7 linked regions of the Oryctolagus cuniculus genome follow. The protein of the gene in region 2 binds, or shares a complex with, the protein of the main gene of each other region. Links are inferred from orthologs where the notes say so. Each region holds a gene or a part of one and is shown on either strand. Other genes may lie near its edges.

Region 1 (3,351 bases), on a different chromosome or scaffold from region 2:
TTCGGAGTGCTTACCAAAATATGTGTTTAAGTAACCCATCCCTAATTTTAGAGGCAGAGTTTGCAAACAACACCCTACATACTTGACTGGAATTAATGTAGAGTTTTGTTTTAAAATTAAAGTAGAATTTCCCCAAATCAACAGCAGTTAATAGAAGGTCCTATCTGTATCACTTTTACTGCTATCAGATAAAGAAATAAAAAGTTGTTAGATTTTTAGAATGATTTTTATCAGCATTAATGTTCATGTACTTTTTTTTTTTTTTTAGTAGATGTATTTTATTTATTTGAAAGGCAGACTTACAGAGAGAGAGAGGGAAGAGGCAGGTCTTCTATCCATTGGTTCACTCCCCAAATGGCCACAATGGCCAGTTAGGTCAGGCTGAAGCCAGGAGCCTGGAACTCCATAAGGGTCTCTCACATTGTGGCAGGAACCTAAATACTTTGTCCATCTTCTGCTGCTTTCCTAGGCACATTAGCAGGGAGCTGGATCAGAAGTTGAGCAGCCAGGACTTGAACTGGCACTCATGGGATGCCGGCATTGTAAGTGGTGGCTGAAATCACTGTACCACAATGCCAGCTCTCATAATTAGAGTAAGAAGCATATTGGATGTTTATTCTACAGGCATATATTACAGCCAAGGGACCCACAGAACTAGATTTTATTCTTTCACTCGGTAAATCCTTATTGTGCAACTGCTTATATATTTTTTAAATATATATATTTATGTATGAGAGGTCTACAGACAGTTCATGGAAAATGCATATTAACTTTTAGTTCTTTTTTTCAGGAATTTTATAAAGCCCCCTCATATAAATAAATGTATTTTTATAAAAGATGAGGAAATGCACTACTCATGATAAGGAATATGTGTGGATTAACTTTTTTTCTGTACCTTTTTCATATTTGAAGCTCTGAATTGGGGGAGTATAATGGTAGAAACATAGAAATACAAAGTATAGGGGTTGGTGCCATGGCTCACTTGGTTAATCTTCTGCCTGAGGCGCCGGCACCCCATATGGGTGCCGGGTTCTGGTCCCAGTTGCTCCTCTTCCAGTCCAGCTCTCTTCTGTGGTCCGGGAAGGTAGTGGAGGATGGCCCAAGTGCTTGGGCGCCTGCACCTGCGTGGGAGACCAGGAGGAAGCCCCTGGCTCCTGGCTTCGGATTGGCGTAGCTCCGGCCGTAGCAGCCGTTTCGGGGGTGAACCAATGCAAGAGAGACCTTTCTCTCTGTCTCTTCTCTCTCACTGTCTAACTATCTGTCAAATAAAAAAAAAAAAAATACGTAGGAATACAAAGTATAACCTTGATTGTAGATAGCAAAATCAAACTAAATATTTTATCCACTCTAATTTTTTTATTGTTTCTCCTACAATATAAATGTTTATTATTGGCCGGCGCCACGGCTCAATAGGCTAATCCTCCGCCTAGCGGCGCCAGCACACCGGGTTCTAGTCCCGGTTGGGGCACCGGATTCTGTCCTGGTTGCCCCTCTTCCAGGCCAGCTCTCTGCTATGGTCCGGGAGTGCAGTGGAGGATGGCCCAAGTGCTTGGGCCCTGCACCCCATGGGAGACCAGGAGAAGCACCTGGCTCCTGCCTTCAGATCAGCGCGGTGTACCGGTTGCAGCGCGGCGGCCATTGGAGGGTGAACCAATGGCAAAGGAAGACCTTTCTCTCTGTCCACTCTGCCTGTCAACAAAAAATGTTTATTATTTACTGTATTTTCCAAATGTTTGACTTATTAGAAGCAACAAAGTGTATCAGCAGAAGCACAGCCTGGAAAACAATTCTGGATTAAACCCTTGGTCCATACCGAATCAGTTCTGGTCTGAACCTCATTTTCCAAATTTCTAAAATGGGAATTCTGATAGATGTTTCATGGGTTACTGTGAGAATTAAGATGATGTTTCTCTGCCACAAACAGACTTTAGTATCAGTTACAATATTCTTTTTCCTTTTAGGCACCTTCAGATAATTTGCTTGTTTCCTGTTCTTGTAATAGAAGTAGAGGGCCCAGAAGGGGGAAAACAACAGTATTTTGTGGTAGTGAACAAGATCTTTCTTTTTGAGTTTTCTCTGCTCATGTGAAACTTACACTTATTTCTAAACCTTAAATGATTTTCCGTGAAGTTGGGTAGAGCTTGCCACATTTTAATTACTAATGTTTCAATCATTTTACTTGTTAATTTCTATAAATCATCAGTTGATTTCTATAAGATCATCTGGATTCATTTATTTTATGTTTACTTTCAGTCCTATTACTTATGCCTGGGAAGGTGGAAAATTGATATCAGAGAACGATGATTTTGAAGATATGGTGGTAACAAGAGAAGACTATGAAGAAAATGGACATAGTATCTGTGAAGAGAAATTTGATATATAACAAACATTTCTGAATGAAAATCGTGACTAGTTGTGACTGAAAGGTTTACTATCAACTTTCCTTTAGAATTGGTTAAGGACCTGTGTTATCTTTCACCCTAAGATAAAGTCTTAACTAAATCCTTTGACCCATGGCTAATTTTCACAGTCTTCTTAGCTACATTATTACAATAATCTGTAACTTAGTTCATAATTTTATTTAGAAATTGGACTGCCATGCAATACTTATGAGAATATGTTATATGAAAGAGGGCATGTTTTTTAAGTCTAATTCTTCATTGCCAGGAGCATACACTAAACTTTTTCATTGGTCTGTTTTACTTAGTAGGTAATTTTTCATTACTTTACTAGGAGTTGGCCAAAGTGTTTACGGGATAATATGATTTCTCTCTCATAGATCCAAGTATTTTATTTAAAAATCATTATTTGTATTTATACATAATAAAGTTGGAAAGACTATGTGTAATGTTTATTTTTCACTTAGAATGAATGAGTGGAGACCAAAGCCTATTTACTAAAGACTTTTAAAAATTTTTTATTTATTTATTTGAAGGTCAGAGTTACAGAAAGAGAAGAAGACTGATATATATATATATATATATATATATAGAGAGAGAGAGAGAGAGAGAGAGAGAGCGAGCTTCCATCTACTGGTTTATTCCCTAGATGGCTGCAATTGCCAAGGCTGAGCCAGGCTACAGCCAGGAGCTTCATCTGGGTCTCATGTGAGTGGCAGGGGCCCAAACACTTGGGCCATCTTCCACTGCTTATCCCAAGCCATTATTAGGGAGCTGGATTAGAACTGGAGCAGCCAGGACACGAACCAGCATCACAGGCAACAGGTTTATCTGCCACGCCACAACAGCAGCCCCACTACTAAAGACTTTTTGATCACTGCTATGTTGGCAGAAATGTATTATTTCACTCATAAAAGTACTATACTGCTTTATTTGAAGTAACTCAGTTCAA
Region 2 (4,548 bases):
AGTGGGGGCAGTGATTTTTAGCCTAGAATACAGAGAGAAACTCCAGGGGCCCACACAGCACCTGAAAAGAGAAACAAAATTCTATCTATATGTCCTTATGCACATTTTTTCCAAGAGGCAGATTAATAGCTCTCATCAGATTCCCAACTAACCCACTAAAGGTTCAGCATCAATGATACTGGGGCCAGTGCCGAGGTGCAGCAGATTAAAGCCCCGGCCTGCAGTGCTGGCATCTCATATAGGTACCAGTTTGAGTCCCAGCTGCTCGACTTCTGGTCCTGCTCCCTGCTAATGTGCCTCGGAAAACAGCAGAAGATGGCTCAAGTCCTTGGGCCCCTGCACCCACGTGGAAGACCCGGAACAAGTTCCTGGCTCCTGGCTTTGGATCAGCTCAGCCCTGGCCGTTGTGGCCATTTGGGGAGTGAACCAGTGGATGGAAGATCTCTTTTACCTCTCTCTGTAACTCTTTCAAATAAATACAATAAATCTTATAAAACAAAAACAATCCCTGATACCAGCACCTAGATGGCCATCAGTGAACTGTGCAAAGCCAACACTGGACGTGAGGGTAAATCTGTGGCACCACTAGATCCACCGATGCCTTCTGAATCCCCAAGATTAAAGTATTCAATTCCCTGTCAGTGTATTCTACACACACACACACACACACACACAAATGGGTTACCAGTCCTCAGACACTGTAGAATATTTGACACAAAGGTGTAAGGATGAGAAAGTCACAGTACTGAGGACCCACATCCCAGGATCACATAATATAAGCTTTGTTCCCTTGAATTAATAACTGATACAAAACCTAAAAGGTACCTTCTCCTTGCCTGAAGGAAGGCAGTGGTCATACTGTTCCCTACTGACAAGATCTTGTGAACGCGTTTGCTCTCTCTATTCCTTGTGGACTGTGAAGTACCTCAGTCACACACTATAGCAGCCCCTAAAACGTGTGTGCAAGGACTGTGTGTGCACGTGCTAGATTCACTGCTGCTTCAATGAGCAGAGTGCCCGTTACAGAGCCTATTAGGTATTCTTCAGATGCTATATTGCTAAAAAGGATGGAGACTTGCTGTGGTCTCCCATATAGTCTTCATATGATCCTCAGCACTGGAGCTCCTGGGAAACTCAAAATAAGGCGGAGACGGCTTTCCAAACTTTGCACTTGTAACTCTCTTACAGACAGAACCTCTTCCATGTATTCTCCTTCAGTTTACCCTCCAGCTTCCCTGCAGTGAGACACACGGTGAACCCTGACATCGAAAAAGAACCGAACAGGCCTTAGAGTCCATGTTGGCTCTCAGACGAGCACACTGAGCGCCAGAGAGGCTGCCGACACCACCAGCCCCATACAAGAACCTGGCAGCAAAGGTGGGCCTGAGAAACACAGCATCAGAGTTCGGAGCGTGGATTCTGCAGCCACACAGACCTGAGTTTAACTCCTGGCTCTACCGCCCACCAGCACGGGGACCTTAGCCCACATAACCTCATCGGCCCTAAAGGGTTTAGGGGTGAGCTGTATGGATGTTTGCCATCTACTCTGAAATGTCAAAGTGGACTGGCAGCTGGATAGATGAATAGATGCGTGACAAAGCAATGGCAAAAATATTAATTGTAGATTTTTGGGCAGATATCTACTGAACGAGCCAACATTTCCTACGTTGAGGAATACAGTACTAGAGTGGGGGAGCAAAATTATTAGACTGCAAGTGAATAACAAGACAGTGGGAACACAGCTGCTTAGCATGGTGCTTGGCCCAATCCATGCTAGCTGCTTGCAGTAACAGGTGCTTTGTTGAGTCAGGGTCAGACGTTTCCCTACTGGAAAGATGATGCTCAAAACAGAAACCAGGGGCTTGTCTTTGGCCCTTTCCATGAGCAGCATCGGGCTGAGAGGCATGTCTTCACTTCATATAAAGTGCAGGGTTTTGTAGCTGTCTAGCCTCTAGGGCAGGGCTCTTAGCCTGGAGCGCAGGGGGCTGAGAAAGGGCGGCAGAAACACATGGACGTGCGAATGCCAGCTTTACCCTTTAAACTACAGTGGCAAGTGGACTAGCGGCCTCTCCCATCCTTATTTTTTTGCCGGTAAAACAATATTGTAGGGGAATGGACTTGGCATCCCTGTCACTTTAATAAAATCAGGACCGGAGCGACCAAGAAAGATGCTTGCAGGAGTGGGTCAATCAGATCACTCCTCTCACAGCTCCCGGGCCTGGGAACCAGAGCGAGCTTTCAAACTCCTACAGTTTCCCTGCCATGCCGACAAAACCCTGCACAGAGGACCCCTACCAGGACACAGTCATTTTATCGGCCCACACGTTTATCCTCTCAGCTCACCGCACGGAAATGTAAGCGCCGGGAAAGCAGGGACCTTTTCTATCCTGTTCCCCGCCGCATCCCGGCGTCGCCAGCCGAGGCCTGGCACGCAGCCGGGAGCGCCATCAACACCTGTCGGTGAACTGGCACAAACCGCCCCCTGCTCCCCGCGGCCCGTCGCCTTTCTCCCACCCCCACCCTGCCCTGCGGAAATGCGGGGCAGACCCCCGGCCCCCGCTTCAGCGGCTGTGGCGCCGCAGCGGCCCTGCCGGAGCCCCCAGCTCCCCGGTCCGCCCGCCACACCTCTCGCGCGTTCTCCTGGCCCACGAGCCCTGAGGCCGCCTGCTTGGCCAAGCCGCTCTCGTCCAGCCCCAGCCCCTTCACGTGGCTGTGGGAGGCGATGCGCTGCGTCTTCGTGGTGCTCTTCACCTCCTCAATTTTCATTTTTGCAGGCGACGGGAGCCAAAACCAACGTGGAAAATCAGGACCTACAGCTGCGCGCCTGGCGCCCGGGTAACCATGCGGCTGTTACCACGGCGGTTTGCAAGGGCCCGCCCAGGTCCTTGCTCTATTGGCGGAAGCGGAAACGCCTCCGTTCCCCATTGGTTTAAGGCCGCGTCCATCGCGATTGCCGGTGGAACCCCGCCCATTTACTTCCGGCTGTGTCACTGGGTTGAATTTCCCCCGAGCCGCCACTTCCTGCCCCGGCCGGTGGCGGGAAGGCAGAAAGGTAAGTCACGGTGCGAGTTTGGAGGTGGTGCTTCAAATCTGGATTTTAATCGTTCCATCTAATCTATTATCATACTTAAACGTCACGCCTTTCCGCGGAGCTCAGGTTATGGCCTCAGTTTGGACATGCAGGAACTGAGGCGAGCTTAAGCTTTGACTTTGGGTTGGTTACTCCGAAGTTTTCCAACTCCCAAGCGTTTGCACGTGCCTGCGAAGGTCCCGCTCAGCCAGCCATTCCCAACGCTGCTCCGCTCAGAATCCTCCGTGGAACTGGCTTCTCTGCTTCTCTCCTCCACCCTCCTCCTCTGCTTAAGTTGCCTGCGAATAGCGTTGCACAGCCCTGTAAGGTGGTATAATGCCTAACGCAGATAAAAAGGCTCATGAAAAAAGGTCCAGTGACCTGCGCTGGAACACACAGCGATGAGCAGAACGGGAAACCCCAGAGGAGACTGAGCCCGTGTAACCCTCAGCCCATCCCAGCACCTCAGAAAAGACCATCACTCTCCTGTCGGCTTCATAATGGATTCAGCACCACTGGGATGGAAGCTTCTGACGTTCTTCAGAGCCCCGAGGGACGGGGGCCAGGTCTTGGAAGGCTAAAGTTGTTAGTGGTAGTGTGTGATTAATCAGCCCTAAAGACACCCCCTCAGGACACCCAGAGATGCTCAGCGTATCATTGACAGGCCTGGTCGTAAGTGTTGCATAAAGAACTGTTCCTTTCAGGGTGTGGAAGGAAGGCTTTCCACCAACGAATATCAAAGTGAGGTGCTCTGTAGCAACAACCTGTGTGTGTTGTCCAGTGAGGAGGAAAGACCGGTTTTACATTTATTATTTTAAGCCCTCAAACTCTTCTCTCTTTTGGCACTGAGCAAAGAGAAGGATTTCCTGGCAGCCAAAAGAAGGGGAGGATGCAGAGGTTTTTAGGGCTCAGAGGAAGCTCCTGGACCACTTGGTCCAGTGGCTTTCAAAGTATACTCCCTGGAGTTATAGAATCGTTTTGTGGCCAGAATGGGTAGTGAAGGGGAAGGCTGAGAATTTAGGACACTACCTCCATTATACCCCAGCACCCACTCCTTGTTCCACCAGAGCTGCTTTGGTTTTTTATGCTATTGACCTGGTCAAAAGTCACTGATCCATCCTGGCATTTTCATATTACAGGTGAGGAAACCGAGGCCACAGGAGAGGAGAGGATTTGGCCAAGGTTACAAACTCAGCAAATGCCTGGCACAGGTCCAGTATGAACAGATGCCAGGCCTAGTTTTAGAGCCAGGCTTTTTTTTTTTTTTCTTTTTCTTTTTGACAGGCAGAGTGGACAGTGAGAGAGAAAGAGACAGAGAGAAAGGTCTTCCTTTGCCGTTGGTTCACCCTCCAATGGCCACCGCGGCTGGCGCACCGCGCTGATCGGATGGCAGGAGCCAGGTACTTCTCCTGGTCTCCCATGGGGTGCAGGGCCCAAGGACCTGGGCCATCCTCCACTGCACTCCCTGGCCACAGCAG
Region 3 (3,861 bases), on a different chromosome or scaffold from region 2:
GTAATACTGATAAAATAATTCATGACCATTTTCCAGTTTTGTTAATTGACCCAAATGTTGTACTCACTGTCAGAGCCATCATCCTGTAGTTCCAGTGGCAGCAGTGCCTTCTCTTCTCGGGCCTTCTGAGAGCTACCAGCTGGGGTGCTGACCTTTCGAGGCCTCAAACTCTTGAGAGGCTCCTGGGGACAGATTGGAATCAGATACCAGAGAACAGAAGACGTAGGGAGAAAGATGAGGATCTTAACAAGAGAAAACTGGCAACTCTTTACTTAGTATAGAGTTGGTCTTCTGTGTATAAAGTTATTTGGAGAATGGGACTGGGAATGGGAGAGGGAGGAGAGGTGGGAATGTTGGGGGGAAGGTGGGTATGGTGGGAAAAAAATCACTATATTCCTAAAGCTGTACTTATGAAATGCATGAAGTTTGTATTCCTTAAATAAAAGGTTTCTTTCGGAAAATAAATAAATAAATAAATTGTTGTGCACGGTTTAAAAAAAAAAGAGAGGGAGAAAACTGGCACTGTAGAAATGGGGCTGATATGGAGCGTTCTGGGCCTGATGAAGAAGAGAGTAGGAATTCAGAAAGTCCAAGGGAACCAGGAATCCCCTGCACCTTATAGGCTTTGGTAACTACTCGGCGCTTCCGCCTTGGCTCTTCGGCTTCTCCATCACTGGATGGCTCATCCCCTTCATCGATGTCAAAGTCAGAATCCACCTCGTCTTCTGTGTCTGACTGGTCCCCTTGATATTCATCATCTCCCGACTCCTGAGGACACAAGGAGGCGAGGGCTTACTGGGAGCAGACTCGTTAATGCCCCTGCACGCACGAGGAACAGAATTTCTTCACCTTCCTGATAAGGGCTGCCTCACTCTCCTTCCCAACCGAGCTATTCTTTCCTTTTAGGGGAGAAGCCTTCCTAGCCAACCTCTGGTTCTACTGGCACGCCCCTGCAACATCCACAGACAGCCCTCTACCCGCAGAACACTGTGGTAAGTACTGCGGAACAAGAGCATACGGTTTGGTTCCTACCTTCAGTGGGTTCACAGTCTAGTGAAGGACAGGACACAATCAGAAGTTTTAATACACGGCAACACATAAAGTACAACACGGCAACTATGGCAAATCAGAGGAAGGCATATTTGCTACCAGTTGGTGGTGGGAAACGGTCTAAACTTTAATCTTTTAGACCACAAATCAGGAAACTTTTTTCTATAAAGGGCCAGATTAAAACAGGTAGCACAGGAGTAGGTGTAAAGCTGCCATCTGTGATGCTGGCATCCCACATGGATACTGTTTCAAGTTCTGGCTGCTCCACTTCTGATTTAGATCCCTGCTAATGTGCCTGGGAAACCACAGGAGGATGGCCCGAGTGTTTGGACCCTTACATCCATGAGGGAGACCCAGATGAAGCTCTGGGCTTCAGCCTGGCTCAGCCCTAGTCATTGTGCCCATATGCAGAATGAACCAGTATAGATGGAAGATCTCTTCTCTCATTCTCTGTCTCTCCCTCTCTTTCTGTAACTCTTTCAAAATAAGTCTTTAAAAAACAAACAACAACAAAACAGTGGGCCAGATCTGGGGCACAGGTTTTAGTCTGGTGGATAACACTTTAGAATCCAAAAAATGAAAAACAAAAAGTTGGGACCAGCATTGTGATGTAACAGGTAAAGCCACCACCTGCAGTGCCGCCATCCCATATGGGCACTGGTTCGAGTCCTAGCTGCTCCACTTCTGATCCAGCTCTCTGCTATGGCCTGGGAAAGCAATAGAAGATTGCCCAGGTCCTTGGGCCCCTGCACGCACGTGGGAGACCCAGAAGTTCCTGGATCCTGGCTTTGGATCGGCGCAGCTCCAGCTGTTGCGGCCAACTGGGGAGTGAACCATCAAATGGAAGACCTCTCTTTCTCTCTCTCTCTGCCTCTCCTCTCTGTGTAACTCCGACTTTCAAATAAATAAATAAATCTTTTTTAAAAAATAAAGTTTTTATTTTTAAGATTTATTTATTTGAAAGTCGGAGTTACACAGAGAGAGGAGAGGCAGGGAGAGAGAGGTCTTCCATCTGCTGGTTCACTCCCCAGTTGGCCGCAACAGCTGGAACTGTGCCGATCCGAAGCCGGGAGCCAGGAGCTTATTCTGGGTCTCCCACATGGGTACAGGGTCCCAAGGACTTGGGCCATCTTCTACTGCTTTCTCAGGCCATAACAGAGAGCTGGATCAGAAGTGGAGCAGCTAGGAATTGAACTGGCGCCCATATAGGATGCTGGCACTTCAGGCCAGGGCGTTAACACGCTTCACCACAGTGCCGTACCCAAATAAATAAATCTTAAAAAACAACAACAACAACAACAACAACAACAACAGGAAGGAAGGAAGGAAGGAAGGAAGGAAGGAAGGAAGGAAGGAAGGAAGGAAAGAAGGTTGGTTGGTTGGTTTATCTCTGGCAAGAAGCCACCTTTCCACATTGACTATCCTGTAATTGTCCCACTTTGACTATAAGATTTGAAAAGAAGGTTATACTTTGTCTCTGCAGAGGTTTACAATTTCAGGATAATAAACTTTCAGTTTTAAACTGAGGGCCAGGGGCTGGCACTGTGGCACAGTGGGTTAAAGCCCTGGCCTGAGGCGCCGGCATCCCATATGGGCGCTGGTTCTAATCCCGGCTGCTCCTCTTCTGATCCAGCCCTCTGCTATGGCCTGCGATAGCAGTGGAGGATGGCCCAAGTCCTTGGGCCCCTGCACCCACATGGGAGACCTGGAAGAAGCTCCTGGCTTCAGATTGCTGTAGCTCTGGCCGTTGCAGCCATCTGGGGAGTGAATCGGCTGATAGAAGACCTCTCTCTCTGTCTCTACCTCTCTCTGTAACTGTCTTTCAAATAAATAAAATAAATCTTTTTTTTTTTTTGACAGGCAGAGTGGACAGTGAAAGAGAGATAAAGAGAGAAAGGTCTTCCTTCCTTTTCCATTGATTCACCCTCCGATGGCCGCTGTGGCCGTGTGCTGCGGCCAGCTCACCACACTCATCTGAAGCTAGGAGCCAGGTGCTTCTCCTGGTCTCCCATGCGGGTGCAGGGCCCAAGGACTTGGGCCACCTCCACTGCACTCCCAGGGCACAGCAGAGAGCTGGCCTGGAAGAGGGGCAACCAGGACAGAATCCGGCGCCCCAACCAGGACTAGAACCTGGTGTGCCGGCACCGCAGGCAGAGGATTAGCCTATTGAGCCTCGGTGCCGGCCTAAAATAAATCTTAAAAACAAAACAAAACAAAAAAAAACACCTGAGGGCCAATGATTTTCAACTACCTCCTCCTTACTTGTCCCAGCATGATAATCACTGTTGAGGTAAAGTTACTGAGAAAAATAGGTAGAAGGGTAAAAAGTACGTACAAAGTATATTTAAGAAAGTTACAGAGCTCAGTTTGATGAGCTGGAGTAGAAAATCTGAAGCGTTAGCTCTAATGTAATATACATTAGGGCTAGAATGGCAGCCACCTTGGAAAGAAAGTGGGGAAAAAGCCCAAACACTTTAGGAAAGAGGAGTCGACTGGGCTCAACACCTCAGACTTGCAGCTCTTTCTCCAATCAGTGATGCAGATTTGTCCATTAATCAACAAATGGGGGGCTGGCGCTGTGGCGTAATGGGTAAAGCTGCTGCCTGCAGTGCCGGCATCCCATTTGGGCTCTGGTTCGAGTCCTGCCTGCTCCACTTCCAATCCAGCTCTCTGCTATGGCCTGGGAAAGCAGAAGACAGCTTGAGTTCTTGGGCCCCTGTACCCATGGTGGGGGACCCAGAGGAAGCTCCTGGCTTCAGATCGGTGTAGCTCCGGCCATTCCAGCCAATTGGGGAGTGAACCAGTGGATGG
Region 4 (4,380 bases), on a different chromosome or scaffold from region 2:
AAAAACAGGTAGCAACACACACACACACACACACACACACTCATTTCAGTAAGAGTAACTCCACTTTCACCTTATATATTCACATCACCATAATATTTTATTTGGGGTAGGGAGGGGGAGCAAGGGAAGAGCTTATTGCTGCTTTAAAAAAATTTGAGAAATGAAACTACCATCAGGGCTGGCATTATGGTGCAGCAGGTAAAGCCACCATCTACAGTGCTGGCATCTCATATGAGTACTGGTTCAAGTCCTGGCTGCTCCACTTCCAATCCAGCTCCCTGCTAATGCACACAGGAGGGCAACAGAGGATGTCCCAAGACTTTGGGCCCCTGTACCCATGTGGGAGGCCTGAAGGAAGCTCCTGGCTCCTGGCTTCAGCCTGGCTCAGCACTGACAGTGGCAGCCATCTAGGGAGTGAACCAGCAGATGCAAGATCTCTCTCTGCCTCTCCCTCTCTGTCTGTAAGCCCTTCTGCCTTTCAAATAAATAAATAAATCTTTAACAACAACAACAACAACAACAAAACTCTATACCATCTGTAACTGTCACAGGTAAGCCATTTAACCAGTCAAGGGATGTTACAAGTGTATTATTCGGCTAGTATTCTAAGAGGACCTTGCTGTTTGAGAACAGACTAAACTGAAGGACAGCCATGACAAAGGAATATAATAATTGGATATCATGTCTAGGTCTAAGACCCTCTTCAAATTATCAACCTACAGAAACACGAAATACTTGTCACCCTACCTCTCCTTACACTTACTATCAATGCCTGGCTGAGGCCTCTAGGCTTATCAGTTCTCAGTTTAATGCTAAAGACAGTCCTGACCATCAAAGGACAAGAATGCTTGGGACCACTGGTCACAGCAACACATTTGGTATCTTGACTGCATTTAACTTTCAACACTAATTCTTCTATATAGAAATAAAGAGGTGGCCCTTTGGCTGGTGCCGTGGCTCAACAGGCTAATTCTCCGCCTAGCGGCACCGGCACACCAGGTTCTAGTCCCGGTCGGGGCGCTGGATTCTGTCCCGGTTGCCCCTCTTCCAGGTCAGCTCTCTGCTATTGCCCGGGAGCGCAGTGGAGGATGGCCCAAGTGCTTGGGCCCTGCACCCCATGGGAGACCAGGAGAAGCACCTGGCTCCTGCCTTCGGATCAGTGTGCTGCGCCAGCCGCAGCACGCTGGCCGTGGCAGCCACTGGAGGGTCAACCAACAGCAAAGGAAGACCTTTCTCTCTGTCTCTCTCTCTCTCCACTCTGCTTGTCAAAAAAAAAAAAAAAAAAAAGGTGGTCCTTTTAGAAACCTAATGAATCATGGGATTTCCCATAAGGTAAGTGGGTCAGCAGGTCACAATGTCCCAGAATTCCAGAACCTGGCATAACAGAGCTGGGAGGGCCTTCCCAGATCATTTCAGTCTTGTCGCTTCATCAGACAACATGGGGTATTGAGGGTCCGAATGGGCAAAGCCCAGACCCTACTTGTAACCTCCTTTTTCCATTAACTCATTTGTAGCTGTGAAAGGAAAAATAGAATAGAAAGGGCAAGACTAGAGAGACTAGAGTATTATCACTTATTAGCTCCAGAGGCTCACTTCTTCGACTTCCTGAACTGAGACTCAAGGCTAAAGGTAATCTTCATCAGAGGAAACTGTTCCTATAATGACTATTCAGTCCTGAACCTCTTCCTTGTCTGTCTTTTGACTGATACCCAGGTTCAATTATCATAGTCCCCATAGGAAGGGGATAGCCAAATCTTGGCAGCAGGATCATATTACAAAAATAAAATGGTCATGCCAAGCTCCACATCCTATAAATTTAGGGTTTCCTCCACTAGAGTTTCTTTGTGAATTCCTTAGACTTATACTTCCTTTAGCCCTAGCTGGTATCATCATTTCATTGACCTAAGCTGCAGGTTGGTTCTTTCAGAAAGAAGAAAATGCGGTTTCTCATTAATTATCATTTTTTCTATATTTATAATTAATTATATCTTATAATTATAATCCACTATTCTAATGAAATGTACTACACTGATTTTGGAGTTCAACCTTTCCTATCCTATTTCATTAAGATTTCAAATTCCAGGTATATAACCCTCTTCATCCAGGGCCCTCAAGAGACAAGAACAACAGATTATGGAAATGAATCCATTATCTTCTTTCTGCTACTTATGTAACCTCTCTAATATCTTAGTGGTGGATTCATGTTTAGGGTAAATGATTAAAGAGAGAGAGGAAAGGTAAAAACAAATTGCTATAGCTTTAAGATGTCACTGATTCCATCCGGATGGTATTCCTCAAGCAAGAAATATCCAGTGAGGACTGCAGCTACAAAATTGTCTCCATTTCCTCCCTTTGTCTTTCTGTGGGGTACGGGTGGGTGCACACTGCCTCTATGACATCTTCCAACCAAATGAACAATTTTACATGTGGACATAAGCACATTTGGCCATAATGTCAAAATTCTGGTTTGAAGAACCAATAAGCAAATTTCTTCTGTTTTTAGAGGAGGGGTTGGGGAGGGGAAGAATCAGGAAGGGAGAGTACATGAGTCCACAAGATAATGAGAAGGCTAGGGTTTGGGGAAAGCTAAGGTTAGAACTATCTGGGTTTTGCTTGATTATTCATTTTGCTTTGTGTTTTCAGAAGTCAGTGTTCTCTCATGAGTTCTTCCTCTCAAAATTGAAAACTTTTAATGTTTTCCCTTCGCATATAGGTGGAGGACCAGTCCTTGAGACCAGCTTTCACCTGCAGGTGCGTCATCTCCCTTGGATTCATTCACAAATTATGGTGGAGTAGCTACCACAATAGGAACTGTGCTAAACACACAGTATACACAGTTAAGAAGAAACTTAGCACTTAGCCTCATAGATCTTGTATTCTAGCAGGGAAGACAGACTTGGACTAAGTTCCTGGATGATAGTGAGATGGAGAAAACGGGGTGGGGGGGTGTTGTGGAAATACGTAAGAGGGACACTGACCTACTCGTGGCCCAAGTTGGGGAGGGAATGTCTAGAAAGGCTTCCCTGAGGCAGACACATTTCAGATGTGACCTGAAAGAAAAGGAAGAAGCAAAGCAGCAGGAAGGACCAAGGAGACAAAGGAGAAGGAAAGTGCGAAGTGTAACAGAGCTTTGAAGAGGGAAGTGGTATAAAAGATTCTCATCTGAAAAAAAAAATCTGACCGCAGTGTGGAGAACAGATTGTAGGGAAACCACAGTAGGTCAGCAGGTGAAAACAGTGGTGTCTTGCAAGGAGGCGTGTCACAGGTGCTGAGGGAACAGAAAGCAAAAGCACTTAACTAGAGGCTGGGCATCAGGGAAGGGCTCCGTAAGGAAGTAACATTCCAAGTGAGACTTGCAGGCTGGGTTCGCCATGGTGAGGGAAGTGAGGGAGTGAGGAGTGAAGAGAGGCCCGGACACTAACCTTCTCCTTTAACCAAAGCAGGTCTCATTTTCACTAAGGACCTCGTCCTGGTCTGGAATGCCTGGTACCTTTTCTTCCTAGCCAAACAGTGCCTATGTTTCTACAGCCCTCCCCAGTGCCAGGTCCACTGATGACACCCCAATACGACTTACTGTTCCTGCTTATAAATTTCTATTCCATACGTATTGCTAAGCATTAAAGATCTACTATTCAGGGTAGTTACTTAACTTCACACAGATTCACATGTAAGCTACTTGGATTTGCAAACTCTTTTCTATTACTTTAGCATCATCCAGGGTATCTAGCACAATGAGGGACTGTGTGACACAGTCATTGAATGAATGAATGAATGAATGAGGCACTAGAGTCTCTGCAGACCTCCTTTAGATATTCACTATTATCCGTGAAGCTAATAGGAAAGGGATGTACTTTGTGTAAAAGATTCCTACAACTTGCATGCGAAGACCTGAGATCTGAAATTGACTATTCCTTCCCACTGGTCACTGCTTCTCACCCCCTTGCAATCCTGGTCCCCACCCCGCCCCCCCAACCTTCTATTGTTTCTTCTGTCTTCTGGTTGTCAGCCAGGATGAGAAAATGGTCAAGCTGTCCTCAGAGACTTACGCCAGCCTGGGCTGCTCTGCAGTGCCATGAAGGGCCAGGACTTTTGTTTACAGCTGGGAGCATGGCGAGGCGGTGAGCACAGCTGACAGCCCCACTCTGGGGCAAACATCAATCTTCCTCTGTCCTCTCAGCCAAGTCTCACAGACCAGCTTTATTGAAAGCTGGCTGCACCCGCCTGGGCTCACTGATGTCCCACCCACAACTCGAGCCTGGGAGTAGCTGGGTGAATCTCAGCTTTGTACCTTTTAGGAACTGCCCTTGCTCTCCTCTCTGTCCCTGTTTGCAAATCGGCTTATCTCAACCTCTGGGCCTCGAAAGAGCATGTTCTGAGGAC
Region 5 (4,536 bases), on a different chromosome or scaffold from region 2:
CAAACTCAAGATATGATCTAAAAAGATGTCAAATCTTTGAATCCTACTACTACATACTTGTAAACTTTGGGAATTTACTTTAGTAAATACAGATAACAAAGAGACAAATAAAAGTTACCAACCATCCTGCCACCCAGACACTATTATCATTACCAGTGAGGTGAAACTTGTTTTTTTCCCTTGTAAACCATAATACCACTGTTATTTTAATAAAAAAGGCTTCTACTATCATCTATAGTTTTACAATGACTATATCAAGAACACTTTTTCTTATCAATATGTATTCCTTTATAATATCATCGTATGACATACTACATTTATTTGCTCAATCCTCAAATGTTAGACATTTAAGGTATTACTGTCCCTCAAGTATTATAGATCAGTGTTGTGATGGACATCTTTGTAGCTGGCAACAATATCAGAAATGTCTAATCTGTCAGTTATAATCTTTAGGCGCTTGAAAGAGCTCAAAGTCATTTACTCCTGAACATTAAAATGTAATTTTAATGTAGTTTAATGTATAACTACACATGAAGCAACAAAGATGGCTTGCTTATGAATATATACACAGAAATTGCATTTAAAAATAATGCTAAGCACTGAGAAGATTTTGGGGGGGCGGTGAGAGAAGTAATTTTTTGTTCAACATTTACTTTAAGGGATAGTTTCTTCTCAATAAACTTTAAGTTCATTTATTTCAAAAATACACACCAAATTCAAGCATAAAATAGTTACATTAGTGGTACAGCTTGAAGATACCAAAATCCAATCTGCGTCATTAGCTTTAAAGGTCGTGTAAATGGCATATGAAAAGGAAGAGACATCTTCAGCTTTATGAGATCTATGTACGTACAGTTTAAAATAAACGTAGGCACTGGGCTTTTGCAATTTAAAGAGATGCCGAAAACTTGTCAACCTTTATATAAACCTTCCATACAACTTTTATGATTTTATATAATATAAATATAACCAAGCTTCCCACATACTATTCAGAATTTCTATAACTCACCCTGTTCTTCTTCAGGTTAGAAAGTTCATCCACAACGACTTTTTGTTCTTTAATCTACTGAAATAAAGAGAAACGCTTAAAACAGAATTTTAACTCTTAAAAACATGTTCAATTAGATGACGGCTTTAAAATTAGGCAGATGGCGTAAGAAGGTATCATGCGCTGATTGTCCAAATGGGCAGTCTGAGAAGATTCTTTCCAGTCTATGTGTGCACAGGTGGAGGGGGAAATGGGCATTAGACATCTAAATGTCACACAACCCACGGAGCCCAGCCAGTGGGTTTGATGTTGGCAACCGGCCTTCATGCCTGTGGCCACAGTTACTGAACAAGGCCTATACAAACAGACGATATGCACCAGAAGTAATACCAGTCTCTGACGATTTGTGTACTAAATGGTGCGGCTAGACAGTCCTTTTAACCAAGTAGTTCTAAATCCCCCTGTCTTGGCATCAATCTTCTTTGCACAGTGCTGGCTTCACTTTTCAATTTCAGGAGAGAACTCAAGTAAGTGCAAACTTTCTGATACTTTCTAGTAACTGGCTATTTTATGAACACGATCTATTACCTAACATCACCAGCGCCTCTAAAACCAGATGTAAGATTTTTACACTGCACCACACACTTGAGGGATCTGCCATAGGTCGGCAGCAGAGTGGGCTGTATTTTGCAAATTCACTCCCTGCCCCATGAGTCTCCCCCTTGTTGTCTCCAGAGCTGACACAGCTGCAGAAGGGACAGGATAAGGCTGACTTCCAAGGTTGAAACTATACCCTCCCCCTCTTTGAGACTTAACGCTTGTACCACAGTGCTTTCTTGTGCAGTTTAGGGATGTCAGGTCTGTATTTCACTTCCCACCAAAGAAGGAAGCTGTGATGCAGAGAGAACAGAGAGGTCTGTCCAAGACACCACTACTAGCTTGGAGCAGAACCAGTGAAGAATGCAGGACATTGAACTCCCTCCTCCACACGTTTAAAGGTTGCACCTGTTTCCGGCAGTTCAGGTCAGTATCAGAGTGGCTCCCCTCCCCCTCTTTCTCCGCAGATGAGTGACAATCAGATGTGCGAGGTTTAGGGCGGCCACTGCGGCTACAGCGGGGAACAGAGAAGGCAGCAGGTGGGCTAGGGAGCCCTTTGCGGGGGTCCGGGGCAGCCGATGAGGGCGGCTCGTTCAGGGACGCAGGAGCGTGCGTCCTCGGGACTAAAGTCACACTCGTACCGGAAGTGGGTTTCAGGTGTAGACCGACGTCAAGGATGAGCCCATGCCGCTGGCAGGGGTAACGGAAGGGGTGAGCTACAGATCTGGAAGGGCCGCGGAAACTCAGCCCACAAGACGCTTAGCGCGACTACTTCCAGGGAAGGGGAAGTGCCGACTGCTACCAACAGCAGAGCAGCGCAAGCCGAGGCCGTCTCCAGCGAAGCCCCGCGCTGCTCGCGGCCGGCCCTCTCTGGGTTGCCCCAGGCGCCGGGTCCTAAGCCCGGGAGGCCTGCTCGCTGCGTCCCACGCCCACCTTGTTGCAAAGATCCTCCTTGTGTAAGGTCCGGCCGCCGGCGGGGACCGGCACAGCGCTGTCCTCCGGGTGCACGCCCCGGCCGGGCATCTCCAACCAGCCGCAGACACGCAGGATTCACCAGAGCTCCCGAGAGTCCCACCACCGACCGCCCCAGCCACAGCGCCGGCAGCGTCACCTGCCTTGCAGAGGTCTCACCAACCTCCTCCGCGCGCTCACTCCAACGCCTGCGCAGTCCGGGCCTGACGCCCCCGCCCCCTCGCCAAGAGCGGTTCTACGCATGCGCACAAATGCCTAGAGCGCCAGTGTTTCGAGCCCGGTTGCGAAATCTAAGCAATTCATACGCCGACCCCCAGCGGATCGGAGGTAGAAACACTTTTGTGGGCTCTTGGACTACAAGTTACACGCGCCCCCTATTGGTGCAAATAAAGAACAGACGCGCAGTAGAAACACCAATTAGTTATTAACCAGTCAGATCCTGAACTAAAGCACAGATTTCATAGACACAATGTTGGCAACCGAACCCTACAGAATTGGAAAAGTTTTTGTTAATTTGTAACTAGGGTTTTCAGCTAAATACAATTTTATACGAATTTCAGGTGAATGAATACTTTTATTAGTGTACATCCTATGCAATATTTGTAATGTCTCATTCTTGCAAAAAAAAAAATGACCAAAAGTTGGAAATAGGCAAGAGATTACCTGATGTTCTTTCAGTGCTGTTCTAGGATTGACTTTCAATGAACTGAACTGTTTTACAACCTGGTGCAGGCAGGGGACAAAAGCAGAGGCAAACGTGTGGATTTTTGACTGGTAAAAATGCTAATAATTTCTACTAGGTCAATAAGATACTTCCAAGGTTATGATTTATTATCTGGAAGACATTAATCAGTTATGTATGTAACACTGAGGTCCTGTCTGACATTTCTTGACTGATAAATTCCTTGCTTTTCAAATGCTCTTTGAATTGATTTTCATATCTGACTGGTTTCCTCATTTACTAATGAGTTAAATAAAACCATGATATGTGTTTATTTTATATTTGCATATGAGACCACATATTTGAAAATTATATTCCAGTGTTGGGAATCACGATGTTCTATGGAGATGCTTAAGTGCACTTATGAGATGTAGACAAATTGTGTGACTTAATAGATGTACTTGGTGGCTTTTTTTAAGCCCTAGCATATCTTTCATCGGGTCTTCTAGTAAGAAAAGTTATATGAGGTCTGGACTGGTAAATTTTTATGTTTCTCCATGTATCTGTCTATCTGAAATTTAGAACAGGCTTCTTTATTTTTTTTTAATTTCTTTGACAGGTAGAATTATAGACAGTGAGAGAGACAGAGAAAAGGTCCTTCTTCTGTTGGTTAACTCCCCAAATGGCCACCATGGCCGGTGGTGTGCCAATCCGAAGCCAGGAGCCTTCTTCCTGGTCTCCCATGAGGGTGCAGGAGCCCAAGCACTTGGGCCATCCTCCACTGCCCTCCCAGGCCACAGCAGAGAGCTGGACTGGAAGAGGAGCAACTGGGACAGAATCTGGTGTCCATATGGGATGCCGGCGCTGCGAGGCAGAGGATTAACCAAGTGAGCCACGGCGCAGGCCCCTGTTTTTATTTGCCATAGAATGGGTATTTTTTATAAAGATTTATTTATTTATTTGAAAGGCAGAATTACAGAGAGGCAGGGGGTGGAGAGAATGAGAGAGAGCGAGAGAGAGGTCTTCCACCCGCTGGTTCACTCCCCACATGACATGACTGCGACAGACATAGCTGTGCCGATCTGAAGCCAGGAGCCAGGAGCTTCTTCTAGGTCGCCCATGCGGGTGCAGGGGCCCAAGGACTTGGGCCATCTTCTACTGTCTTCCAGGCCATAGCAGAGAGCTGGATTGGAAGTGGAGCTGAAATCGGACATGACCCCCTAAAATCTACACAAAAATGTAGCCCTTTAAAGTTCCCCGGAAGTGCTATCTGGGGTGCCACATGTGCTACCGGAATTTGGGGTGCCATACGATTTCA
Region 6 (3,861 bases), on a different chromosome or scaffold from region 2:
CCAGTGGCTATTCCGAATAAAAGCCACAGCACCTTTCCTTGAGAATTTTCACTTCATTCTTCCCAAAACACAAAGGATTCGTGAAGTACCTGGATCTGTTCCAATACATCTCGCTGCATCTCCACTGCCATGTGATAGACATCGTGGTCTGAGCTATTGTACATCACAGCATTCTGAAACATCAGCATAATGTCACGCTGAAATTCAGCTGTGCTGCGAATCAGTCCATTTTCAATGTTTTTCTTAATAGTTGATAAATCCATAGGCCTAAAAAAATGAAGAGGAGTAAAGAGCAGCAGAAGTGGGAAAAGGACTCACCTGATCTCTGAATAAATGATAAACATGATAATACATGATAAACTTTCTTACATATACCTTATTCCTTCATTATTAGCTGCTAGGACACAAATGCCAAGCCCCCACTCCAAAACATGCACTTAAGACAGAGAGAGAAATCTTGCATCCACTGGTTCACTCCACAATTGCCCACAACAGCTGGGGACAGCCCAGGCCAATGCCAGGAGCCAGGAACTCCACCCAGGTCTCCCACATGGATGGCAAGAGTCCAAGTACGTGGGCCATCATCCACTGCCTCCCAGGTGCATCAGCAGTAAGCTGGATTGGAAGCGGAAGAATGGGACTCAAACCAGCACTGCAATATGCGCGATACGGGTGTCTCAAGCAGCAGTTTAACAGACTATGCCACAACATCTACCTTTGTACTTAGATCTAAAGTAAAAATTCACTAAGACTGGACAATTTATAATTCAGGCAAGTCAGCAGAGCATGGCTTACCTCTGTACAATGCTGTGATAACCAGGTGCTATGTCATCTGTAACAGGCTGTAAGAAGACATTCGCATATCTGTCCGAAAATAATTAACATGCAATTACTAAACAGATGCACATGGGAAGGAACTTAGATCAAGTAGCTAAAGGTAGGTAGAGACACCACCAACAGTCCCACAGAAGCCTACTTAGACTGCTTTCTTTTCATCTACAAAGAGGAGGACCAGGAGGGAATGAACCTACTGATGGGTAAAGCCACTCACCTATGATTAGCTGCCGCTCTCCACACAAGCATGATGGCTTTCTTCCATATTTTCTGTGCCTGAATAGCTTCTTGATCCTCACTACAGACAGAACTGAAATAGACACACAGATCAGTAGGCAAGGTGAAAGAAAAAAAAGCCCTAATTATTTCATGTCAGTTATTTCTTCCAGGCCAAGAATAGGAAGATGAGAAAATAAGATTAAAGAAAAGGGGGCTGGCATGTGGCATAGCAGGTTAAGCTACCACCTGCAACACTGGCAACCATATGGGTGCCAGTTCGAGTCTTGGCTACTCCACTGCTGAGCCTGGTAATGCTCCAGGGAGGGAAAGCAGCAAATGGCCCAAGTACTTGGGCCCCTGCACCCATGTGGGAGACTGGGATGAAGTTACTGGCACCTGGATTCAGCCTGGCTCAGCCCCACCTGTTGCCACATTTGGGAAGTTAACCAGAGGATCAAAGATATCTCTCTCCCTCTATCACTCCGCCTTTCTTTTCTTTTCTTTTCTTTTCTTTTTTTTTTTTGACAGGCAGATTCGACAGTGAGAGAGAGAGAGAGACGGAGAAAAAGGTCTTCCTTTGCCGTTGGTTCACCCTCCAATGGCCGCCGCAGCCGGCGCACCGCACTGATCCAAAGCCAGGAGCCACGTGCTTCTCCTGGTCTCCCATGGGGTGCAGGGCCCAAGCACTTGGGCCATCCTCCACTGCACTCCCGGGCCACAGCAGAGAGCTGGCCTGGAAGAGGGGCAACCGGGACAGAATCCAGCACCCCGACCGGGACTAGAACCTGGTGTGCTGGCGCCGCAAGGCGGAGGATTAGCCTAGTGAGCTGCGGCGCTGGCCAAAAATCTTTTCTTTAGTCTTACTGTTTTTTTATTTTATTTTATTTTATTGATTTGAAAGGCGGAGTGGCCGGCGCTGCGGCTCACTAGGCTAATCCTCCGCCTTGCGGCGCCGGCACACCAGGTTCTAGTCCCAGTCGAGGCGCCGGATTCTGTCCCGGTTGCCCCTCTTCCAGGCCAGCTCTCTGCTGTGGCCAGGGAGTGCAGTGGAGGATGGCCCAAGTGCTTGGGCCCTGCACCCCATGGGAGACCAGGATAGGTACCTGGCTCCTGCCATCGGATCAGTGCAGTGCGCCGGCCACAGCACGCCGGCCGCGGCGGCCATTGGAGGGTGAACCAATGGCAAAAAGAAGACCTTTCTCTCTGTCTCTCTCTCCCACTGTCCACTCTGCCTGTCAAAAAAAAAATTAAAAAATAAAAATTAAAAAAGAAATAAAGGAAAGATTTTCTCCTACTTCTCACCTTGACTGCCTTGGACTCAAACAAAGAAATCTCTAATACTCACAACTGTGAAGAAGCAGGGCTGCTGGGGATGGAGTCGGCCAGTGTATGTGACTGCAGTGTAGCATTGTGTATGCTAAAGCCATCATCACTCTCGCTCACAGGGGGTTCATTATCCATTTCTGACAAATAGCCTTCTCCTTGATCTTCTTCCTTAGGCTCCTCTAGGCTGGCTGCTTCACTGACCCCATCTTCTTCCTCATCCTCACCTGGGGCATCCTTAGACACAGTGTGCTCCGGTCAACAAATGCACGTAAAGCTATCCAGCAAAGCATCATTAAACATGGTCTGTCTTTTGGGTTAGATCAACTCTAGAAATGGCCTCACACTTTGAGCCCTCTATCACTCATACTACCATCTACTTAGCAGACACTGACTAAATAAAGTAATCTAGAACCTGGACAAAGAATAAAATCCAGGATCTTTTTAAAAGGAAGAAAAAAAAAAAGCTACTTACTTAAGACTAAGCTAAGAGGCGTTCCTTCTTTCCCCTTGCTCTTGAGAGGAACTCTGACCCTGGGTACAAAGTTATCAAAAATAGTTTTTACTTCGTGTCTCATTTGATGGAGCAAGCTCACATCGCATTACTTCAAATCTTTTTTATTACTGCTCTAGTAACTCTAAAATAAAAACTTCAGATGATTCTCTTTGAATAGTCTAAAAAAATCTGATTTTCTATAGTTTCTTCCTGGCTCTAGTATTCCTATTGACTCCAAATCACTTGGGGTGCATCAGAGCTTCTTTGTATACTTCATGCCAAGAAAATAACCATGTAATGTTCAGATGGGTAGCACGTGCAGTAATTATATGTACTCCCATATGCCTGACTGTCCACTACAGCTTTTCCCCATGCAACTCCTTACCAGTCTCATCTCAGAGAATAAAGCTGTGAGTTTACTGAAATTCATTAAAAAAGGGAGTGCTATAGGGAAATCTATCACATGGCAAGAGGAATAAAGAAAAATCTGAAATACCTTTATCTGGCTTCCAAAAATAGCCCCTGATTCTTCTTTCAATGAGTCTGCAGAGGAGAGAAAGACTACCTGAAGATTTTTCCACCTTAGCCTTCCCCTACTATGGACCGTAATCCCCTGCAGCTCTCCTTTCCATGCTGACCTATTCTACTTCCTGTACTTGCCCACAACCCACAATCCCTTAGAAGCCAAAGCAAATGATTTCAAGTTAGTCACAGAGTACAGGTTTCCTGGTCTTTATTTACCTGACATTTCAAATTTGTGTTGAGTCTCTGTCTCTAAAGGATCTTCAATGGGATTTGAGCCATGTGAGGGAGATAACATGCTCTCAGGGGATGCCTAAAGACCCCAAAAAAAAAAAACACACCAAACAAACAAACATCAATACTCTAAGTAATGGTGAATTCTAAGAGTTCACAAAATTTCATTTTTCAATAATAATGAACCTGTACAGAGAATTCTAAGTCCTACTCATATAAAGACTCCAGTGGTC
Region 7 (3,861 bases), on a different chromosome or scaffold from region 2:
AGAGAGAAAGGTCTTCCTTTGCCGTTGGTTCACCCTCCAATGGCCGCCGCGGCCAGCGCGTTGCGGGCGGCGCACCGCGCTGATCCTATGGCAGGAGCCAGGTGCTTTTCCTGGTCTCCCATGGGGTGCAGGGCCCAAGCACTTGGGCCATCCTCCACTGCACTCCCTGGCCACAGCAGAGAGCTGGCCTGGAAGAGGGGCAACCGGGACAGAATCCGGCGCCCCGACCGGGACTAGAACCTGGTGTGCCGGCGCCGCTAGGCGGAGGATTAGCCTAGTGAGCTGCGGCGCCGGCCATTTTATTTAAATTTATTTTTAAAGCCAGAGAGCCAGATTTCCCATCTGTTGGTTTATTTTCCAAGCACGCACAACACCTGGGGCTTGGCCAGGTAAAGACCGGAAACTCCATCCTGGTCTTTGTGGGCGGCAGGGACCCGGCCTCTTGAGCCATCGCTGCTGCCTCCCAGGGTGGGGTGCGTGGGGAGCTGGGATCGGGAGTAGGGCCTGGGCTTGGACTCAGGCACTCCCATGTGGGTGTGGCTCCAGATACCTGCCCCTCGAAACGTCCTACCTAAAGCCATCGTCACCTCACACGGGGCAGGGCTGTCCCTGGATGTGTTCCCCGCACCACAGGGCATCACAAGACCCCACTTCCCACTCGGTCCTGGCCCCTCTGCCCGCCTCAGCTTCCGGATCTGTGAGCCAGGGCTGCTGGGCCGCAGTGACTGAGAGGGGCCGGGGGCCCCGGGCCCCCAGGCTGGCAAGTTGTGGCACGCACCAGGTGTGCACCTTCGCGCCTGGGCTGCTCCGAGGACAAGGCAGACTGGGCCCGCCTTCCCGGGGTGTAGACAGCTGCTGTCCCGCCTTGCTTCCCCTGGTGTCCCTAGAGGTGTCAGGGCGGGTGCCACGTGTGTGGTCGCCCTGGCGGTGTGCCCTCGGCCCCTGGTGGCCTGACCTTGTTTACTTGGGCCGAGGAAGCTGCCCTGTGCCCTTTGGGCAGACAGGCTGCTGGGCGCTGGGGCCGTCGGTCGCTCACCGTGTCTTCCCCGCGTGCCAGGCTGGACCTGTACCGCGCCTCGGGGAAGTTCGAGCTGCTGGACAGGATCCTCCCGAAGCTGCGCGCCACCAGCCATAAGGTGCTGCTCTTCTGCCAGATGACGTCCCTCATGACCATCATGGAGGACTACTTCGCCTACCGCGGCTTCAAGTACCTCAGGCTCGACGGTGCGGCCCGGGGCTGGGCGGGGCCGAGCGCAGCGGCAGGCAGGCCTGCAGGCCAGGCGCCATGGGCCCAGATGCATGGGTACACTCAGGACGGAGACCCCGGGGTGGGGTGCACTTGCTCCGGCACAGCTGTGCCCAGGGGTGCAGGTCACGTGGGAGGGGCTTCCCACACACACACACACACGCCCTTTTTTATTTGAGAGGCAGACACAGCCTAGGAGCTGTCATCGCTGGTTCGCTCTCCAGATGCCCATCACAGCTGAGTCTGGGCCAGGCCAAAGCTGGGAACTGAGTCCAGCTCTCCCCCGTTGTGTGTTAGTGGGAAGCGGCCCAGGAGCCGAGCTGGGACTTGAACTCTGGCACTGTGGTGTGCGAGGCAGGTGTCCCAAGTGCAGCTCGACCTGCAGCAGGCGCCCACAATCCTCCATCGTGGCCTGACCCTGCAGCTGCCTTCCCAGCCCCCCGCACCTGCTCAGGGAGCGCAGCAGAGGCCGCCCTGCCCTCTTTCCTGCTGTGGTCTGGGGCTCTGAGCCGTGTGCCCACCTCTGTGGTCTTTACAGCAGCCGGGGGGGCCGTGGCCCTGCCTCAGGCCAGCCCGGGAGCTGGAGTCAGCCCTGCACTTGCTGTCGCCTAGCCCCATGTGCCGTGTCCCTTCACAGGACAAATCAGTGCGTGTTTCTGGCCCTATGGCCTGAGCACACGGGACTTTGGGTAGGAGGCCTGGTGAGGGGCCCAGTGGGCACCTGGGCCATGTGGTCAGCACCACGCCGGTCAGGAAGGCTATGGAGTGCATTCCCCACCCTGTGTCAGCCAGAGGGGTTAAGTGAGGTGACCCAGAGACGGAGCTTGGGACCTGCGGGGACCAGCAAGGCCGAGGAAGCCCAGACCTCCCGGCTCCCTCTGCTCGCTGTGCTGTGTCTTGTGTGGGCAGTGGCGTTATTTCATGGGCTGGGCTGGCCAGGCCGCCCACCTCCGCAGGCGCCCACCAAGAGTGTGCCCCGTGTGTGCGCCCAGCTCTCAGCCCTTCCTGGGACTCGCTGCAGGGCCACCTGCACAGAGCACGTGTCTGTCCTCCTGGGGCTCCTGCTCCTTAAGCTGAAACCACACCCCCTCAGCCAAGGCACCCCTCCTGGCCCAGTGTTCTCCCCGCGCGCTCCGGGAGGCTGAGGGCTCAGCCTGCACCTGGAGTGCCTGGGGGTCGTGGCCACAGGCACTGAAGGTCTGTTCAAAGAGCCAGGGAGGTGGGGGGAGCTCGGTGATTGTGGGGCGAGTGGGAGGGGCTGGGGAGGGGTGGGCCTGCAGGCCAGGATGGCATTGCTCTTCCTCTCAGCATTGCAGCCCCTCCCGTAGGGGCCCTCACTGGCTCCTCTGCCTGCGCTGCCCTCCTCGCCCTGGGACGAGAGTCCCCTGTAAGGCTCCTGGGATCCTGGCTCTGCGGCCTGTGAGATCGTTCGGTCTGGCCCTGCCAGGGCCACCGCAGGCAGGACTTGAAATTCAGCACATTCACGCAGGCTGACTTTCCAGCTGCTCATTTTGTGTGGCCCGCGAGTGATGTGTGTGCAAATGGCCCTCGCACTGAAATGGCTCCCCAGTCCTGCTCAAAAGGCTTCTCTCCGTGATGTGGTGGAATCTGCCAGCCCCTGGCCTGCAGTGCAGTCCTCTGTCACTGTCTGCCCGCCCCAGGGGCCCTCCTGTGTCTTGGGGGACAGTGGTGTTGGCACCTAAGCTGGTGCCACAGGAGGTATCAGGCCGATGGCGGCCGTGGCCTGTGCTGCAGCCCTTCCTTTAGTTCTCTGTGTTACATGGTGTCAGCCAGGGCCTGGGGGAAGGAGGTGGGCACCCGCTGGTGGCCACATGGAGAGGGCGTAGCTGGGGCTGTGTGTCTCTCCTGCCCTGGGGGAAGGAGGTGGGCACCCACTGGTGGCCCACAGAGAGGGCGTAGCCGGGGCTGTGTCTCTCTCCTGCCCTGGGGGAAGGAGGTGGGCACCCACTGGTGGCCCACAGGGCGTAGCCGGGGCTGTGTGTCTCTCCTGCCCTGGGGGAAGGAGGTGGGCACCTGCTGGTGGCCCACACAGAGAGGGCGTAGCCGGGGCTGTGTGTCTCTCCTGCCCTGGGGGAAGGAGGGGGGCACCCACTGGTGGCCCACAGAAAGGGCATAGCCGGGGCTGTGTGTCTCTCCCTGCCCTGGGGTAAGGAGGTGGGCACCCGCTGGTGGCCACACGGAGAGGGCGTCGCCAGGGCTGTGTGTCTCTCCTGCCCTGGGGGAAGGAGGTGGGCACTCGCTGGTGGCCCACACAGAGCGGGTGTAGCCGGGGCTGTGTGTCTCTCCTGCCTGCTGAGCTGTGGTCCTGTGCCGGCAGGAACCACCAAGGCGGAGGACCGGGGCATGCTGCTGAAGACCTTCAATGAGCCCGGCTCCGAGTACTTCATCTTCCTGCTCAGCACCCGCGCCGGGGGCCTGGGGCTCAACCTGCAGTCGGCGGACACTGTGATCATCTTCGACAGCGACTGGAACCCCCACCAGGTGCGGGCGCGGGGCCGGGGGCAGGGAACAGCGTCCACGTCCACGTCGCCACCTGTGGGCTGCCCTGGCGCCCAGGGTGTCCTCTGTGAGAGCCGCCGCACACTTCCTGAAGG

What was found.
Region 1: the proteins of RUVBL1 (region 2) and ACTR6 are in contact, whole or in part, in a cryo-EM structure (PDB 6IGM), measured with the Homo sapiens proteins. The link is inferred for Oryctolagus cuniculus from reciprocal best matches to the Homo sapiens genes RUVBL1 and ACTR6. Residues at the interface, in NP_003698.1 of Homo sapiens: Lys162, Thr163, Ala164, Lys165, Gly166, Thr167, Tyr209; in NP_071941.1 of Homo sapiens: Tyr217, Tyr300, Arg338, Cys339, Leu340, Thr341, Pro342, Thr343.
Region 3: the proteins of RUVBL1 (region 2) and VPS72 are in contact, whole or in part, in a cryo-EM structure (PDB 9CA9), measured with the Homo sapiens proteins. The link is inferred for Oryctolagus cuniculus from reciprocal best matches to the Homo sapiens genes RUVBL1 and VPS72. Residues at the interface, in NP_003698.1 of Homo sapiens: Thr136, Leu138, Pro140, Glu142, Met147, Tyr150, Gly151, Lys152, Thr153, Ile154, Ser155, His156, Val157, Asp173, Pro174, Phe177, Glu178, Gln181, Ala187, Gly188, Arg205, Thr208, Tyr209, Ala210, Thr211, Glu212, Phe213; in NP_005988.1 of Homo sapiens: Ile212, His215, Arg263, Thr264, Phe265, Ile266, Thr267, Phe268, Ser269, Asp271, Phe274, Trp277, Phe278, Gln280, Gly281, Arg282, Pro283, Pro284, Lys285, Val286, Pro287, Arg289, Glu290, Ala299, Leu300, Tyr301, Arg302, Pro309.
Region 4: RUVBL1 (region 2) and MORF4L2 share a complex: the UniProt entries of both Homo sapiens proteins name them as parts of the nuA4 histone acetyltransferase complex. The link is inferred for Oryctolagus cuniculus from reciprocal best matches to the Homo sapiens genes RUVBL1 and MORF4L2.
Region 5: RUVBL1 (region 2) and ASDURF share a complex: the UniProt entries of both Homo sapiens proteins name them as parts of the PAQosome complex. The link is inferred for Oryctolagus cuniculus from reciprocal best matches to the Homo sapiens genes RUVBL1 and ASDURF.
Region 6: RUVBL1 (region 2) and BRD8 share a complex: the UniProt entries of both Homo sapiens proteins name them as parts of the nuA4-related complex. The link is inferred for Oryctolagus cuniculus from reciprocal best matches to the Homo sapiens genes RUVBL1 and BRD8.
Region 7: RUVBL1 (region 2) and SMARCA4 share a complex: the UniProt entries of both Homo sapiens proteins name them as parts of the BAF53 complex. The link is inferred for Oryctolagus cuniculus from reciprocal best matches to the Homo sapiens genes RUVBL1 and SMARCA4.

What each region holds. Positions count from the first base shown.
Region 1 is NC_091442.1:103,144,004-103,147,354, forward strand, and holds the end of ACTR6 (actin-related protein 6), read left to right. Parts: intron 1-251; exon of another isoform or gene 252-2,253; coding exon 2,254-2,383; 3' UTR 2,384-2,841; downstream 2,842-3,351. UniProt on the Homo sapiens protein: Required for formation and/or maintenance of proper nucleolar structure and function. Plays a dual role in the regulation of ribosomal DNA (rDNA) transcription.
Region 2 is NC_091441.1:110,808,818-110,813,365, forward strand, and holds the start of RUVBL1 (ruvB-like 1), read right to left. Parts: upstream 2,877-4,548; 5' UTR 2,767-2,876; coding exon 2,626-2,766; intron 1-2,625. UniProt on the Homo sapiens protein: Possesses single-stranded DNA-stimulated ATPase and ATP-dependent DNA helicase (3' to 5') activity; hexamerization is thought to be critical for ATP hydrolysis and adjacent subunits in the ring-like structure contribute to the ATPase activity.
Region 3 is NC_091438.1:46,923,366-46,927,226, reverse strand, and holds part of VPS72 (vacuolar protein sorting-associated protein 72 homolog), read right to left. Parts: intron 769-3,861; coding exon 616-768; intron 183-615; coding exon 68-182; intron 1-67. UniProt on the Homo sapiens protein: Deposition-and-exchange histone chaperone specific for H2AZ1, specifically chaperones H2AZ1 and deposits it into nucleosomes.
Region 4 is NC_091453.1:89,766,147-89,770,526, forward strand, and holds the start of MORF4L2 (mortality factor 4-like protein 2), read left to right. Parts: upstream 1-1,516; 5' UTR 1,517-1,629; intron 1,630-2,713; 5' UTR 2,714-2,751; intron 2,752-4,380. UniProt on the Homo sapiens protein: Component of the NuA4 histone acetyltransferase complex which is involved in transcriptional activation of select genes principally by acetylation of nucleosomal histone H4 and H2A.
Region 5 is NC_091434.1:50,691,747-50,696,282, forward strand, and holds the start of ASDURF (ASNSD1 upstream open reading frame protein), read right to left. Parts: upstream 2,807-4,536; 5' UTR 2,609-2,806; coding exon 2,519-2,608; intron 1,064-2,518; coding exon 1,010-1,063; intron 1-1,009.
Region 6 is NC_091437.1:25,975,969-25,979,829, forward strand, and holds part of BRD8 (bromodomain-containing protein 8), read right to left. Parts: intron 3,708-3,861; coding exon 3,614-3,707; intron 3,416-3,613; coding exon 3,369-3,415; intron 2,614-3,368; coding exon 2,399-2,613; intron 1,145-2,398; coding exon 1,052-1,144; intron 865-1,051; coding exon 796-864; intron 268-795; coding exon 90-267; intron 1-89. UniProt on the Homo sapiens protein: May act as a coactivator during transcriptional activation by hormone-activated nuclear receptors (NR). Isoform 2 stimulates transcriptional activation by AR/DHTR, ESR1/NR3A1, RXRA/NR2B1 and THRB/ERBA2.
Region 7 is NC_091447.1:66,607,061-66,610,921, reverse strand, and holds part of SMARCA4 (transcription activator BRG1), read left to right. Parts: intron 1-1,057; coding exon 1,058-1,224; intron 1,225-3,584; coding exon 3,585-3,748; intron 3,749-3,861. UniProt on the Homo sapiens protein: ATPase involved in transcriptional activation and repression of select genes by chromatin remodeling (alteration of DNA-nucleosome topology).